Sus scrofa: one gene and its partner. The protein of the gene in region 2 interacts with the protein of the main gene of each other region in a pairwise test. Links are inferred from orthologs where the notes say so. Each region holds a gene or a part of one and is shown on either strand. Other genes may lie near its edges.

Region 1 (7,813 bases), on a different chromosome or scaffold from region 2:
AAGAGTGCTCGTTTTTATTTTAAAATGAATTGGTTACATCAAGGGAAAAAAATGACCTATCCTTAACAATGGCATGAAGTTTTGAGGATGGGAGTTCCTGTTGTGGCTCAGTGGATTAAGAACCTGACTAGTATTCATGAGGATGTGGATTCGATCCCTGGCCTTGCTCAGTGGCTTAAGGATCTGTGTTACTGTGAGCTGTGATGTAGGCCGGCAGCTGCAGCTCCCATTTGACCCCTAGCCTGGGGAATCTTCCACATGCCACAAGTACTAAAAAGCCCTAACCCCCCCCTCCCCCCAAAAGATTTGAGGATGGGGAGATAATGAATGTAATCATTAGTTAAAATGATCAAAAGTCAAGAAAACAAAACTTCGAGAGTATTAAAGTTTTTGTGGGATGGAGAAAGTGTTCTTTGATTTATTTATTTTATTTTCCAAAGGCATTGTCATTCTAGATATGTTGCCCTTTGGCTTTAAACTAAATGACTGGCTTCTAAATCGATATATCTGATTGATATGTCTGAGTGCCTATGGAGTAGAAACATTAAACATTTTGGTTTTCCCCATCTTTCCTATTCATTCGTCACCTAGGGCTTTTATACCTCAGTGCTGGTTTGGGGCCAGAAAAGATTCAAAGATTTCCTCAGCAAGACATCCAGCCTTTTGCACTAAGAGGCAGTAGTGAATATACTCTACTAATAGGGTAGACTTTCTTACTGAAACTGAGATTTCACCTCACATTTAGAATAGTGGACCTTGGAAACTAACATGTCAACCAACCATCCTGTAAAATTGGAAATGTGTTATTTTTATGTTACTTTCATGACCATAGCATCTTCTTCCCTGGCATCCAATTAAAGGAAAGTATTTACTATTATCTCTGTGTGCAACAGTGCCTTTGACACCTCTAATTGACTCTGTAATGAAAAATAACAGTACATTTTGCGGCGTTGAGTTACTGCGCCTGGATGATTTCTTGCTGAATCAGCTGATAGAGGAAGCCAGAAAGATAAGCATTTGATAATGTACTGTCTTCTAGACTGTCCAGAGGCCAGCATCTGTCTGCTTTCATGGCAAGGAAGGAATGCATAAGGGACTGTCTGCCCTCTGACCTGAGTGCAGTGAGCTATCAGTTACTTCCCTCCCCAATCCCATCCCCCACCAAATCCTAAATCTTTAGTAAGGCGTGGTGTGTCATTCTTGCATGTTTGATTTTCTAGTCCTGTTTCCTGAACTAATTAGCTAGTAAAAACTAAGAAGAGGCATTAGTAGTCAACAGTGGGAATAAGTATAATATTTTCTAAAATGCAGATTAAAATTTTTACAAAGGGCAAAAAATGTTACCAAGCCCTGATTCTGTAAACCTGTGAACTCATTTGTTGTTTAAATTAAGGTAGATGAGTTCCTGTTGTGGCTCAGCGGTAACGAACCTGATTAGTATCCATGAAGACTTGGGTTCAATCCCTGGCCCTGCTCAGTGGGTTAAGGATCCAGCATTGCCGTGGGCTGTGATATAGGTCAGACAAAGCTCAGATCTGGTGTTACTGTGGTTGTGGTGTAGGCTGGCAGCTGCAGTTCTGATTTGACCCCTAGCCCGAGAACTTCCAAATATGTGAGTGTGGCCCTAAAAAAAAATTCAGGTAGAAATGGTTTAAAACAAGTTAACTGCCTATATCCCCATTGTTTACTCTAGGTGAAAAAGAATCCACTATATTTAGCTAGTAAATAAACTGTCTCCTATAGTAATCATAGGAAATAAATTCATCTAATCAAATCTTTTTCTTTAGATGGTTATGTTGTAAGTGAAAGTGTATATATCCTCCTTGTTTTGGCTTGACTCAGAATTATCAGTCAGCTCACTAGGGCCCTTGTTAAACTTATGGGTGTTTGTTTTTGAAGGGATCTCTAGTTTCCTGCCAATTTGGTACGTGTAACTGTGAAAGGGTCATTGTCTTTGATCTTGGTGGCAGAGTTTATAAAATTGATGCCTCATATGTTAAGTGCGTTTCATTTTGACTAAATATGAGTCCTGAGATCACACCCAGGCTTTGATGAAACTGAGTAGAACATATTCATTCTTTCTCTGCTCACCACTGCTATTATCCATTGTTGCTTTCATGTCTGATATTTTAATATCACAAATTGTTCATTTGGCTTAAGATTGACTTTTCAAGTTTATTACTTTCTAAGGTGGTAAGGTTGGTATAGCATTAATTGTTAATTAATGCATTAGCTGGTCATCAGTGCCTAGTAGACCTATGGTTAAAATCGGCATGTGCAAGACAGGATACTATTATCTGTACTAGGCAAATGATGTGTGGAAGTCACCATGCAGGTAGAAACAGGTTAAAAGGAATAACTAGGTTTTGTCAGTTGGTAACAGGTCAAGAACATGGGCTACTCGGCTCCTCCCCAACCCTCATCTCTATTTAAAAATCAGACTCCTTAAGCAAAAAGTTTTTTGCTTTTAAAACGTGGTATTCTGTGTTTGCCGCATTCATGTGACATTAAGTTCTTTGTCTTTCCAGTTGTCCTTATTGGAGATTCTGGTGTTGGAAAGAGTAATCTCCTGTCTCGATTTACTCGAAATGAGTTTAATCTTGAAAGCAAGAGCACCATTGGCGTAGAGTTTGCAACAAGAAGCATCCAGGTTGATGGGAAAACAATAAAGGCACAGATATGGGACACAGCAGGGCAAGAGCGATACCGAGCTATAACATCAGCGTAAGTTTCATAGTTTTTAACTTATGTGAAATACGCTGCCAAAGTGAATTAGCTCACTTTTGGTATTGGAAAAAGGTACTATTTTGTTTTCTTTTTAAGAATTCCACTATTACAATTTTAAAATTTGTAAGTATGTTTAAAAAATATGTAAATCTCTATACTTAGTCTTTTCTGGCATTCCCTTCTATCTTGTGGTTGTTTGCTAGTAGTTAAATACATGTTTCTGTTTTCAGATACTATCGTGGAGCTGTAGGTGCCTTATTGGTTTATGACATTGCTAAACATCTCACATATGAAAATGTGGAACGATGGCTGAAAGAACTGAGAGATCATGCTGATAGTAACATTGTTATCATGCTTGTGGGCAATAAGAGTGATTTGCGTCATCTCAGGGCAGTTCCTACAGATGAAGCAAGAGCTTTTGCAGGTTAGTGATATGAATTCCACATTACAGTGATTCTGTATTTCTCCCCCTGTGCTATGCAATAGGATCTTGTTGTTTATCCATTCTGTATGTAATTGCATCTTGCTAGTCTCAAACTTCCAATCCACCTGCCTTTGGCAACCTCAAGTCTGTTGTATGTGTTTGTGAGCCTGTTTCTGTTTCATAAATAAGTTAACTTGTGTTATATGTTATTTTTTTGGCTGCATCCATGGCATATGGAAGTTCCTGGACCAGGGATCAAACCCATACCATGGCAGTGACCTGAGCTGCTGCAGTGACAATGCTGGCTTCTTAACCCACTATGCCACAAGGGAACTCCCTCTGTCATATTTTAGATTCTACATATAAGTAATATCATATGGTATTTGTCTTTCTTTTTCTGATTTACCTCACTTAGTATGATTAGGTCTATCCATGTAGCTGTAAATGGTGTTATTTCATTCTTTTTGGCTGAGTAATATTCCATTTTATATGTGTATGTATGTGTACATACACACACATCACATCTTTATCCATTCATTTGTCAGTGGACATTTTGTTATTTCCATGTCTTGGCTGTTGTAAATGGTGCTATTGTGAACATAGAGGTGCATGTGTCTTCACATCACAGTTTTGTTTGAATATATGCCCAGGAGTGGGATTGCTGGATCATATGTAACTCTATTTTTAGATTTTTTTTCTTTTCCCTTTTTCTTTTTATGGCTGCACCTTTGGCATATGGAAGTTCCCGGGGTAGGGGTCAATTTGGAGCTGTAGGTGCAGGCCTGTGCCATAGCCATAGCAGTGCTGGATCCAAGCTGCTTCTGTGACCTACACCATGGCTCATGGCAACACCAGGTCCTTAACCCACTGAGTGGGGCCAGGGATCGAACCCATATCCTCATGGATATCAGATTCTTAACCTGCTGAGCTGCAAGGCTCATACTGTTCTCCATGATGATTGCACTAATTTACATTTCCATCAACAGTATAGGAAAGTTTGCTTTTCTCCACTCCCTCTCCAGCATTTGTTATTTGTAAATTTTAATGATGGCCATTCTGACCAGTGTGAGGTGGTACCTCAGTGTAATTTTGATTTGCATTTCTCTAATAATTAGAGATGTTGAGCATCTTTTCATGTGCCTATTGGCTATTTGTGTGTCTTCTTTGGAGAAATGTCAATTTAGGTCTTCTGTTCATTTTTTGATTGGGTTTTTTTGTTTGTTTTCTGTTATTGAGTTATATGAGTTACAAATTTGTATATTTTGGAAATGAATCCCTTATCAGTCACATCATTTTCAAATATTTTCTCCCATTCCATAGGCTGTCTTTGTTTTTCTTTTTTTCTTTTTTGGCCTGCAGTGTATCCGGGCCAGGGATCAGATCCCAGCTGCAGTTGTGACCCAAGCTGCAGCTGTGGCCAACATGGTCTCCTTTAACCCATTGTGCTGGGTGGGGGATTGAACCTGTGTCCTGGCACTCCAAGATGCTGCTGATTCTGTTGTGCCACAGTGGAAATTCCAGGTTGTCTTTTTGTTTATGGTTTCCTTTGCTGTGCAAAAGCTCTTAAGTCTAAGTCCCATTTGTTTATTTTTGCTTTTATGTATATTGCCTTGGTAGACTGACCTAAGAAAACATTGATATGGTTTATGTCAGAGAATGTTTGGCCTATGTTCTCTTCTAGGAGTTTTATGGTATCATGTCTTATATTTAAGCCTTTAAGCCATTTTGGGTTTATTTTTTGTGTATGGTGTGAGGGTATGTTCTAATGTCTTTGATTTGCATACAGCTGTCCAGCTCTCCCAGCATCACTTGCTGAAGAGACTGTCTTTTCCCCACTGTGTATTCTTACCTCCTTTGTTGAAGATTACGTGACCATACAGTTTATTTCTGGAATCTCTGTTCTAATGATCCATATGTCTGTTTTTGTGCCAATACCATGCTGTTTTGATTACTCTAGCTTTGTAGTATTGTCTGAGGTCTGGGAGATTTATGCCTCCTGCTTTGTTCTTTTTCCTTAGGATTGCTTGGCAATTCTGGGTCTTTTATGGTTCTTTGTAAATTCTAGGATTATTTGTTCTAGTTCTATGAAAAATGTCATGAGTAATTTAAAAGGGATTGCATTAAATCTGTAAATTGCTTTGGGCACTGTGGCTGTTTTAACAGTATTAATTCTTCCAGTCCAAGAGCATGGGATATTTTTCTATAAATCCTTTCAGTTTCCTTTATTAATGTTTTATTGCTCTCAGTGTACACCTCTTTTACCTTTTTGGTCAGGTTTATTCCTAAGTATTTTATTTTATTTTATTTATGTGATTTTAAAAGATATTTTAAAAAAAACCTTTCCCTTTCTAATATTTATTTGCTAGTTTAAAGAAATGTGTGTTATCTTGTATCCTGCTTCATTGCGGAATTGTCAGTTCTAGTAGTTTTCATGTGAAGTTTTTATTTTATTTTATTTTTTTTTGTCTTTTTGCTATTTCTTGGGCCGCTCCCACGGCATATGGAGGTTCCCAGGCTAGGGGTCCAATCGGAGATGCAGCCACCAGCCTACGCCAGAGCCACAGCAACGCGGGATCCGAGCCGCGTCTGCAACCTACACCACAGCTCACGGCAATGCCGGATCCTTAACCCACTGAGCAAGGGCAGGGACCGAACCCGCAACCTCATGGTTCCTAGTCGGATTCGCTAACCACTGCGCCACGACGGGAACTCCCTCATGTGAAGTTTTTAAAGTCTTCTATATATGGTATCTTGTCATCTGCAAAGAATGACAGTTTTACCTCGTCCTTTCCAATTTGAATATCCATTTCTTTTTTCTTGTTTGATTGGCATGGCTAGGACTTCGTGTACTATGTTGAATAGACATGGTGAGAGTGGGCATCCTTGTCTTGTTCCAATCTTTCAGCTTTTCATCATTGAATACTATGTCAGCTGTGGGTTTGTAGTAAGTAGCTTTTTACTATTTTTTTTTTTTTTGCATAATCCTTCTTAGTTTATTTTTTATTACTCAATGAGCTTATTACATTTATAGTTGTACAATGATCATCACAATCGAATTTTATAGGATTTTCCATCCCACCACCCCAGCACATCCCCCAACCCACCGAACTGTCTCCTTTGGAAACCAAAAGTTTTTCAAAGTCTGTGAGTCAGTATCTGTTCTGCAAAGAAGTTCATTCAGCTTTTATTATGTTGAGATATGTTCCTTCTGTACCCACTTCGTTAAGAGTTTTTAATCATGAATGGATATTGAATTGTATCAAATGCTTTTTCTGCATCTTTTGAGATGATCGTGTGTTTTTTGTCTTTTGTTGATGTGGTGGATCACATTGATTGGTTTGTATATGTTGAACTCTCTTTATGACCCTAGGATGAAGCCAACTTGGTTGTGGTGTGTGATGTTTTTTCTGTGTTGTTGGATTTGGTTTGCCAATGTTTTGTTGAGAAATTGTGCATCTATACTCATCAAAGATACTGGTCTGTAAATTTTTATTTTGGTAGTGTCTTTGTCTGGTTTTGCTATCAGGGTGATGGTGGCTTGATAGAATGACTTTGGGAGTCTTCTCTTCAGTCTTTTGGAAGAGTTTGAGAAAAATTGGTATAAGTTCTTCTTTGTATGTTTGATAGAATTCCCCATTGAAGCCATCTGGTCTTGGACTTTTGTTTGGATGGAGGGTTTTTTTTTTTTTTTTTTTTTTTTTTAAGATTACAGATTATATTTCATTTTGAGTAACTGGCCTGCTCACATTGCCTTTTTATTCTTGATTCAGTTTCGTTGGGCTGTATGTTTCTAGAAACTTGTCTATTTCTTCTAGGTTCTCTGATTTATTGGTATATAATTGTTCATAGCATTCTCTTAGGATTTTTTATATATCTGTGGTATCAGTTGTAATTATTCCTCTTTCATTCTTATTTTGTTTGTTTGGGTTCTCTCTCTTCATGGTGAGCCTGGCCAGAAGTTTTTCAATTTTGTTTCCTTTTTCAAAGAACCAACTCTTGGTTTTACAGATTTTTATTTATTTATTTATTTATTTTTAGGGGTTAGTGATCTAACCTGTGCCACACCAGCAACCTGAGCTGTAGCAGTGACAGCACTGGAACCTTAGCCTGCTGAGCCACCAGGGAACTCCATTTTTCTTTTTCTTTCTTTCTCTTTTTTTTTTTTTTCTTTAAGGGCTGCACCCATGACATATGGAAGTTCCCAGGCTAGGGGTTGAATCAGACGTGCTGCTGCTAGCCTGTGCCACACTCACAACAGCAGGGGATCTAAGCTGCGTCTTCGACCTACACCACAGCTCTCAGTAACACCAGATCCTTAACCTACTGAGCGAGGCCAGGGATCCAGCCCACATCCTCACGGATACTAGTTGGATACTAGTTGGATTCGTTTCCGTGGCACCTCAATAGGAACTCCTTTTTTTCTGTTTTTTTAAGAATCTACATTTTATTTATATCCTCTCTGATCTTTATTATTCTTAGAGTTTTGATAACCCTCCCAATGAGGGTAATCATTTACAATAGTTTGAGAAAGATAAACATGAATGATCAGCAAGTATTGAAAGTGTTTTGAAAGTGTGTGATGAGTTTATGATTCTTTTGCGTACCATTAAGTTACCAAACTGTATTTTGCTGCCAAAAAGTGAATATAAATACTGTCTTCTT
Region 2 (7,390 bases):
CCAAGGCCTGGCCATTTGTCCCTCTGTTCAGCTTCTGGCTCAGGGCCGGCTCCAGGACCCCATCTGTTTGTCTGTCCTGGCGCGGGCATTGGCTTCAGCTCAGAGCCCCCCTCCAGGCCTGGGCCGGGCCCTAGGCCTCCTGGGGGAAGAAACCGAGCTTGGCCAGCGACATCTCCTTCCGCAGCCTCGTGATCTCCCAGAACATGGGCTCCGCTGCAGGCAGAGAGGGTGGACAGCTCGGTGACCACTCAGGGTCACTTCAAGCAGATGGCCTGGCCCCTCCCCCAGCTTTGGGTAGGGCAGCTAACTGGGCACCCTAGGGCTCCCCAGTCCCCCAGGACAGATGACCTCAGCGAGTGGCTGGACCTCTTTGAGGTTCCACTGAGGCCTTGCAAACTGCTGAGGGCTGAACACCTGGAAGGGTCGGAGGTGACAGTCACCTCCACAGCCTGTCACGGACATGCATGTACACAGTGCCACACACTTGACAGGCTGCAAATCCTCTCCCACCCCATCTCCCTGGGCTCTCCAGTGACCCTGAGCAGAGAGGGCAGGGCACAGCAGTCAGTCCAGGGCCCTCAGAGCCCATTCCATGGCCTGGCATAATGGGGACAGAAGGACAATGGGTGGACAGAGGCCACCTGGAGGCCACTCTGAGAGGGGGGGGAGATTTACAGGATAGGCCCCGTCAGGTCAGGTCTTGAATGCCAGAAACAAGAACGCTGGCTCCACGGGCCCCCAGGCTGAGGTTTCTGAGCAGGAAAAAGTAACTGGGTCCAGGTGTGGGCGGCCAAGCCCGGGGGTTGGCCCCGCCCCGCCCCGCCCCCCCGCGCGCCACCCCCGATGGCCACCAGGGGGCGCTCACCGTCCTGGCGCACCAGGCCTTGCTGAATGTAGCGGATGTAGGTGAAGAAGTTGCACACGGCTGTGATCTGCGGACAGAGAAGGCAGAGCGTGACCTCGGCTCTCCACTCCCCGCCCAAAAAGAGGTCAGGGCAGATGGGAGAGCAGCCCAGGAAGCCCCGCGTCCCATCTAAGTCAGATAACGCTGGGCTCTAAAGTTATATTAATAGCAGCAATATTACTACTCCTAATTAAACACCATAATTGAAGCATCAATTACAAAATCCTTTCCTTACCCCCAGGTGACATTAAAAAAAAAAAAAAAAAAAAAGCTAGGAGTTCCCATCGTGGCGCAATGGAAACGAATCTAACTAGGAACCATGAGGTTGTGGGTTCATCCCTGGCCTCGCACAGTGGGTTAAGGATCCGGCGTTGCTGTGGCTGTGGTGTAAGCCAGCAGCTGTAGCTCCGATTCGACCCCTAGCCTGGGACCCTCCATATGCCACGGGGGTGGCCCTAAGAAAAAAAATGAAAAGGTAGTGCTAACTAACTAAGCATATGATAATTAAGTACATGTATCAGATGAGGCAGACATGCCTAATCATTCCCATTCTACACGTGGGGAGAACAGAGGCTCCAAGAACGACCTGACAACTGCAGGAGGTCATGGAGCTAATAAGCAGCGGAGCTGGAAAGTGAAACCCGGCAGAGTGCCTGGAATCCACACTCCCCCAAAGGGCGGCTTGCTCTGGATGCTGGAGGCCGGGCCAGCCAGGACTCATCAGGTGTCACTTGTAATGCCAGGAAAGATGAGGGGATCAGAAGCTACTCTTCTGGCTGTCCTGAACCCTCATGCCTGAAGTCCCCAGCCTGGCCTGAGGCCTGCTCTGCGCCAGGTCCTTTGCAGGGCACTGAGGATACCAGTGCTTTGGTGCTCTGCCCAAGCCTCTTCCCCAGGCTGGGGCCCCATCTCCCCATGGCAGAGTGTTGGCAGCTAATGGCTCATAGGTGCCCCCCTGCACCCCCTCCCCCTGCAGACCTCAGCCAACGACTGACTGGCCTCTGGGGTATAGAACCCCTCTTGCCTCAGGTTGGGGTTCACCTGAACACTAGTGTCACTCCCTTGATTAGGTTACATCAAATGACAGAGGTGATGGCTGTCACTCCCGTGATTACTTTTCAACAAGCAAGAAAGTGGCTACCTCAGTCCTTCAACCGCAAGGAACCAACTTCTGCCAACAGGCAGGTGAGCTCCGAGGCAGACTCTGATCTCCAGAAAGGATGCAGCCCCTGACACCCTGACAGCAGCCCGGGAGACCCTGAGCAGAGGACCCATCTGAGTTATGCCAAGACTCCCGACCCAGGGAGACGGGAGATAAAGGGTGCCACTAAGGTTATGATAATTTGTTATACCTCAATAGTGATCAGATGAATACACCTGGCTGGGCTGTGGCCCAAGTCACTCTCTGCCCCTCTCTGGGCCTGTCTCTCTATAGATCGAGGCTGTGCTCTCAGGCCTGGGGCCCAGAGTCCCAGGCCAGCAGCCCTAGGAACCCGGTAACACTGCTACTGGATGACTCACCCTGGCCCGGGAGGATGGCGAGATGTAGTAGTGGCTCTCGGAGTCCCCAAGCCGGATTCGGTGGCGACAGGCACAGACCAGCCCACTCAGGGCACATGTACTAGGGGAAAGCAGAGGGGGCTGTAGGGGCTGGCTGGGGCTCGCCCACCCGGCTCATGCAGGGAAGATGCAGCAGCCAGAAGGAGGCTGGGGTGGGGGGGCAAAAAGACCTCACCGTGGGGGCTGGCATCCTCTCCCCTGGTCCCAGCTTCCCCAAAAGCCTGGAGCCAGACCAAGGAGGAGGAAGTCCCAGAAGTCCCTGGGAGAGGCCTTTAAGCCAAGCTGGATCCCATTCTAAACCTTTCACTTCACTCACGTTGGATAGGAGCTTGGCCAACCCCATGCCAGGTGTACCAAAGCTCCACCCTCTATAGCCCCTAAAAATGGACCCTCTCAGACCAGGTCCCCCCTTCCCCCATCTAAGCAGGAGTCTCTACCCTTCTTCTCCATATTATAGCCAAGGGCTCCTCCAAAAACTCACATCTAGCCCATTATCTTTCCATGCTGCTTTCCTACTGCCTAGGAAATAGTTACGGAGATTCCCAAATAAAATTAGGTTAAATAGGGCTCCTTGGCTGCAGGACTTATCAGAGCCTTTGCTGCCTCTAGGTTCACTGTGACTCCTTGATTCGACCAGGGGACCCTCTTTTCAGGGAATATTTATTTATCAATGATTTTCGAAGTGCCACCCTAGTGGGTTAAAGCCCAAACCGCATTTGAGGCCCTTTACACACACTGGCTCCAAAACCCTCTGTGGCCTGAGCCCCAACTCTGTGCCCACCCACACCACCGCTCTGCTCACCCATCCAGCAGTGTTTCCATTAAGACTGCTTGTCATACTTTCACTCATTCATTTGCCTCTGCCTGAAAGGCCCTTCCCTGCTTGGCAAACTTCTACTCGTCCTTCAAAACCCGGCTCAAATGTCCCCTTGTGACAAGGCTCCCTCCATGGGGCCACAAGCCCTAGTCCCTACCCTTGCTCCATGCAGGCAGGTTTGCTCTGCCTCTAGCCTTGCTCAGTGCCAGCAGCAGAAGCAGAAAGAGGACAAGATGCCAGCGCCAGAGGTGGAACCAATAACTGACATCACTTACGTGTCAATCGGGGCCCGGAACCCACTGTGGGAGAGAGGAGTGGGAGAAGGATGTAAGTCAGGCCAGCCAGGAGCAGGGAGACCCCTGCTGCACGACTAAAGGCAGCAGTTTCTGCCCAGGATGCCTCCTTGCCCTGCATGGGGGCAGCCACTGTCCCTCTCTGGTCAAGGGCCTCTCCCACCCTCGGGTCCCATTCCAGGACCCAGCAGGCAGGCCTGAGGTTCATTGCTCCCTGGCCACCCCTTGGCGGAACCCAAGGCTTTCCCAGGGGGCAGGAAGGGTGCAGGGCGCTAAGCTTACTTGGCTCGGCCACACTCGACGGCGGCCACCTTCACCGCGGGCAGTGTCTGCGAAGCCACGGGCTCGATGGTGAGCGTGTTGTCCTCCACAGCAGCCCGGACCAGGGCCGAGAGCTGCGGCAGAGCAGGGCGGCGGGTGGGGCGGTGAGGGGCTGGCCTCCGGCTGAGGGGCTGAGGGGCTGGGACCCCCCCTCCTTGCCTCCCCCATCCCCTCCGACCTTCTGGCCGCCCTCTGCCCTCCTCACCTCCTGCATGGTGAAGTCCAAGCAGGGGCCCACGTCCTCCCGGTACACCCGTTCCAGGAACGGGCAGGTCTTGTCCAGGGTGGGTGATTCCCTCCAAGCCTGGAACTCTGCAAACAGGGTGGCATCCACCTGGGGAGAGGGTGAGCCGGGCGGAGAGGTCAGGGTGCTGGGGGCCAGCACGGCAGAGACAGGCAGAGAGCCCAAGGAGTGGGGAGCCAGGGAGGCTGCGGGGCAGGCCCCAGCAGGCCAGCAGGCCTGTCCCCTGTGGCCATGCAGGGAGAGTCACGTCCCAAAAAGGAACTTTCTCTTCCCTTTACACCAAAGAATTTAGAACTCAAAAAGTTTCACTTCTGGGTGCGTTTTTCAGTTTCTTGGCTCTAGAGATGACAGACGTGGGCCCCGGGGCCTCCTCCTGAAGCCCCCTCACTGCCTCCTTGAGGACAGGGAGTTGAAGAGTGACACTGGAGGGACCCACAGATGCACGCAGGGACCCACAGGTACACGCAGCGACGGGCACACAGAAGGGAACACACACAGGCCACTCTGGGAGGCGACGCAGTGGCCGCCACTGGGCACATGCAGAGCGAGAGGCTGGGAGGGGGCGGAGGGGGCGGCCCCTCTCTGGAGCCATTACCTGTCGGGAAAAGGAGAGAGAGGTAGCAGAGGTGGGGCCCACGGGCAGCTCCCCAGGCGGGAGCTGCCAGGCCGGCTCGTAGGTGAGGTGGACCGCCTTGCTGGGGACCACGCAGAGGAGCAGGGAGAGAAGTGGGGGCAGCCCGGGCTGGGCCGGCAGGGCAGACAGACAGACAGGTGCACAGAGACAGACAGAGGAAGGTGACGTTAGTGTCCCAGTCGGAAGCTTAGAGCTCAGAAGAGACCCAGGAAGCTGAATCCCATCACAGCCCCCATGGGCGTTCACTGGGTGCAGCACCCATGTCTCAGGAGGCCCCGCTCATAGGAGGAGACTGATGTGCCAACAGGGGACTTTTCTTGCTCAAGAACCCATGGCCAAGGGCATCACAGCCCACTGTCCTGCCTGGACCAGGTACCCCATGGACCCTCCTGAGGGCCAAGCATCTCATATGACAAGGAACCTGCTCAGTGCTTGTCACAGCCAGAGGACACAGAGGCCCAGGGAGGGTAGGACAGGCTCCTGGTCACACAGCGGGGGCCAAGCCGGGTCCCCAGCGGGCACTGCTGCCTGGCTGACAGTGGCACTGTCTCCTTTTATAGTTCCCGCTGTCCCTCACCTCTTTGCCTTCCTTGTCGGGGGTGAGGGCGTGTCCTGCAGCCGGGCACACGGCGGGGCAGAGGGCGCTGCTGGTGCTCTTATGGCGCAAGTGACCCTTGCGGGGTCCAGCCTTGGTGGAGCTGAGCAGCTGCGGGTGGAGCTCGCGGTTGGGAGAGGCTGGTGTGGACGTGATGACCAGTGTCTTCAAGGCTGTCACCTCTGCCTGCAGCATGTCGATCTGGCCGGGACGAGACAGCCATCAAGGTTAGACCAAGGCTGGTGCTGCCACCAGCTGCCAATGCCAGCTCAGGGCAGCCCGCCCTGCACCTAACCCCACTTGTTACCCTTGGAACAGCCTTTGAGGTGGGGGGGTTGAGATACCCATTTTGCTGAGAGGGAAACTGAGGCTCGGAGACGAGCCATGGCCTGGCTGAGGTCGCCCGGGAAGCCAGGGCGCCCCAGGGAAGCCAGTGGCTGAGGGACCCCCAGAAACCAGGAACAGCCCAGCCTGCCCGTTTTGCAGATGGGCAGATGGGCTCCGAGAGGTAAGGCAACTTGCCCAGGCTCACACAGCCAGACTGAGGCTTCTGCTCTGGAAAGGGGGGTATGGCAAGGAGGAAAAGAAATTACAAGGGTCGCAGGATCCTCCTGGCCCCAGAAAGTCCCCAAAAAGGTCTCTATGGTGCAGGAGAGACACAACCGGAGTTCTAAGGAGCTGGGCTCCCACCCCCGAGGTCATCTCAGATACCTCTGCCCCTTGCTTCTGGCCTCGATCTGCCCATCCGCTGCCCCCCACCCCCATGCACTCCAGGCCATGCAAGCGCTGGCCTTGGGTAGCGAAGGCCAGCGCTTGAGGGGTCGGGACTGGGACTGGAGGTCAGGGCTGGCCAGGGCCTCACCTTGCCTCGCGCCTCCTTCAGCTGCTTCTCTGAAGCCGCCTGCTTCATGTTGGCTTCTCGCACCATCTTGTGGGCTTCCTGGGCAAAGAGTGGGCTCTTTGTGAGTGGGGAGGGGGGAGGAGACCACGGACACCCCGCAGCCCCAAGTTTCCCAGCCTGCCCTCGGCCCCCGCACCTCGAATAAGCTGGCCGTCAGCTCCTCCAGCTCCTGCTCCAGCTGCTCCCGCACCTTGGACAGCCGCTCACACTCCTCATCCTTCAGCTTCAGCTCCTGGGGGGCCCAAGGGAGGGGCCCATCAGCCTCCTGGGGACCCACAGCCCTGGCGCTGGGGGAACCAGGCCCACCTGAGCAGGTGCTGTTCTTGGGTCATCTTATGGGGGCCTCAGGGCCCAGCTTGCTTCCTCTGCAACCCTACAGTTTTAGGGTGCATTTTCCTTGGGCTCATAGCATGAGGTTGAACCCCAGCTGTCAGTCTGTTAGAACTCGGGTTTCAGAAATGTCAAGTTTTTTTTTTTGTGGGGTTTTATGGTGTTTTTTTTTTTTTTTTTTTTTTTTTGTCTTTTGTCTTTTTAGGGCCACATGGCATATGGAGGTTCCCAGGCTAGAGGTCTAATTGGAGCTGCAGCTGCCGCCTACACCACAGCCGCAGCAACACCAGATCCTTAACCCACTAAGCAAGGCCAGGGATTGAACCCGCAACGTCACGGTTCCTCATCAGATTGTTTTCACTGCGCCATGATGGGAACTCTGGGGTTTTCTGGTCTTGCTCATAGTATGCCGTTAAGTTCCTGGACCAGTGATCGAACCTATGCCACAGCAGTGACAATGCCGGATCCTTAACCTGCCGAGCCACCAGGAAACTCCAAGACTTCTAAAAGTCACTTAAAAGCACAAGGACTGTCTCTCTTTTGTTTGTGCTGCCCTCATGCCCAGCAGAGGCCTGGCATGCAGATGGCCTTGACAAGTGTGTGACATCTCTGGGCTTTGCGTGAGAGCCCTCGGCTCCCCAGGCAGACCCCTGTCCCCATCCCCCATGCCCACCTTCTGGGCTTTGTGCAGCTCCTCTCTGAGGAACTCTGAGCCCTTCTCGCGGATCTCCATGGAAGAGCTGCGCAGGCGCGACACGTCCAGCTGGGTGGCCGCAGGGCCCTCCTCGCCT

What was found.
Region 1: the proteins of RAB3IL1 (region 2) and RAB11A interact in a two-hybrid assay, tested with the Homo sapiens proteins (2 studies listed by BioGRID and IntAct). The two-hybrid records come from large-scale screens. The link is inferred for Sus scrofa from reciprocal best matches to the Homo sapiens genes RAB3IL1 and RAB11A.

What each region holds. Positions count from the first base shown.
Region 1 is NC_010443.5:163,863,112-163,870,924, forward strand, and holds part of RAB11A (ras-related protein Rab-11A), read left to right. Parts: intron 1-2,528; coding exon 2,529-2,724; intron 2,725-2,957; coding exon 2,958-3,151; intron 3,152-7,813. UniProt on the Homo sapiens protein: The small GTPases Rab are key regulators of intracellular membrane trafficking, from the formation of transport vesicles to their fusion with membranes.
Region 2 is NC_010444.4:9,591,742-9,599,131, reverse strand, and holds part of RAB3IL1 (guanine nucleotide exchange factor for Rab-3A), read right to left. Parts: coding exon 7,273-7,390; intron 6,502-7,272; coding exon 6,406-6,501; intron 6,309-6,405; coding exon 6,231-6,308; intron 5,570-6,230; coding exon 5,351-5,569; intron 4,230-5,350; coding exon 4,101-4,229; intron 3,970-4,100; coding exon 3,857-3,969; intron 3,581-3,856; coding exon 3,557-3,580; intron 2,526-3,556; coding exon 2,426-2,525; intron 933-2,425; coding exon 866-932; intron 214-865; coding exon 131-213; 3' UTR 1-130. UniProt on the Homo sapiens protein: Guanine nucleotide exchange factor (GEF) which may activate RAB3A, a GTPase that regulates synaptic vesicle exocytosis. Promotes the exchange of GDP to GTP, converting inactive GDP-bound Rab proteins into their active GTP-bound form.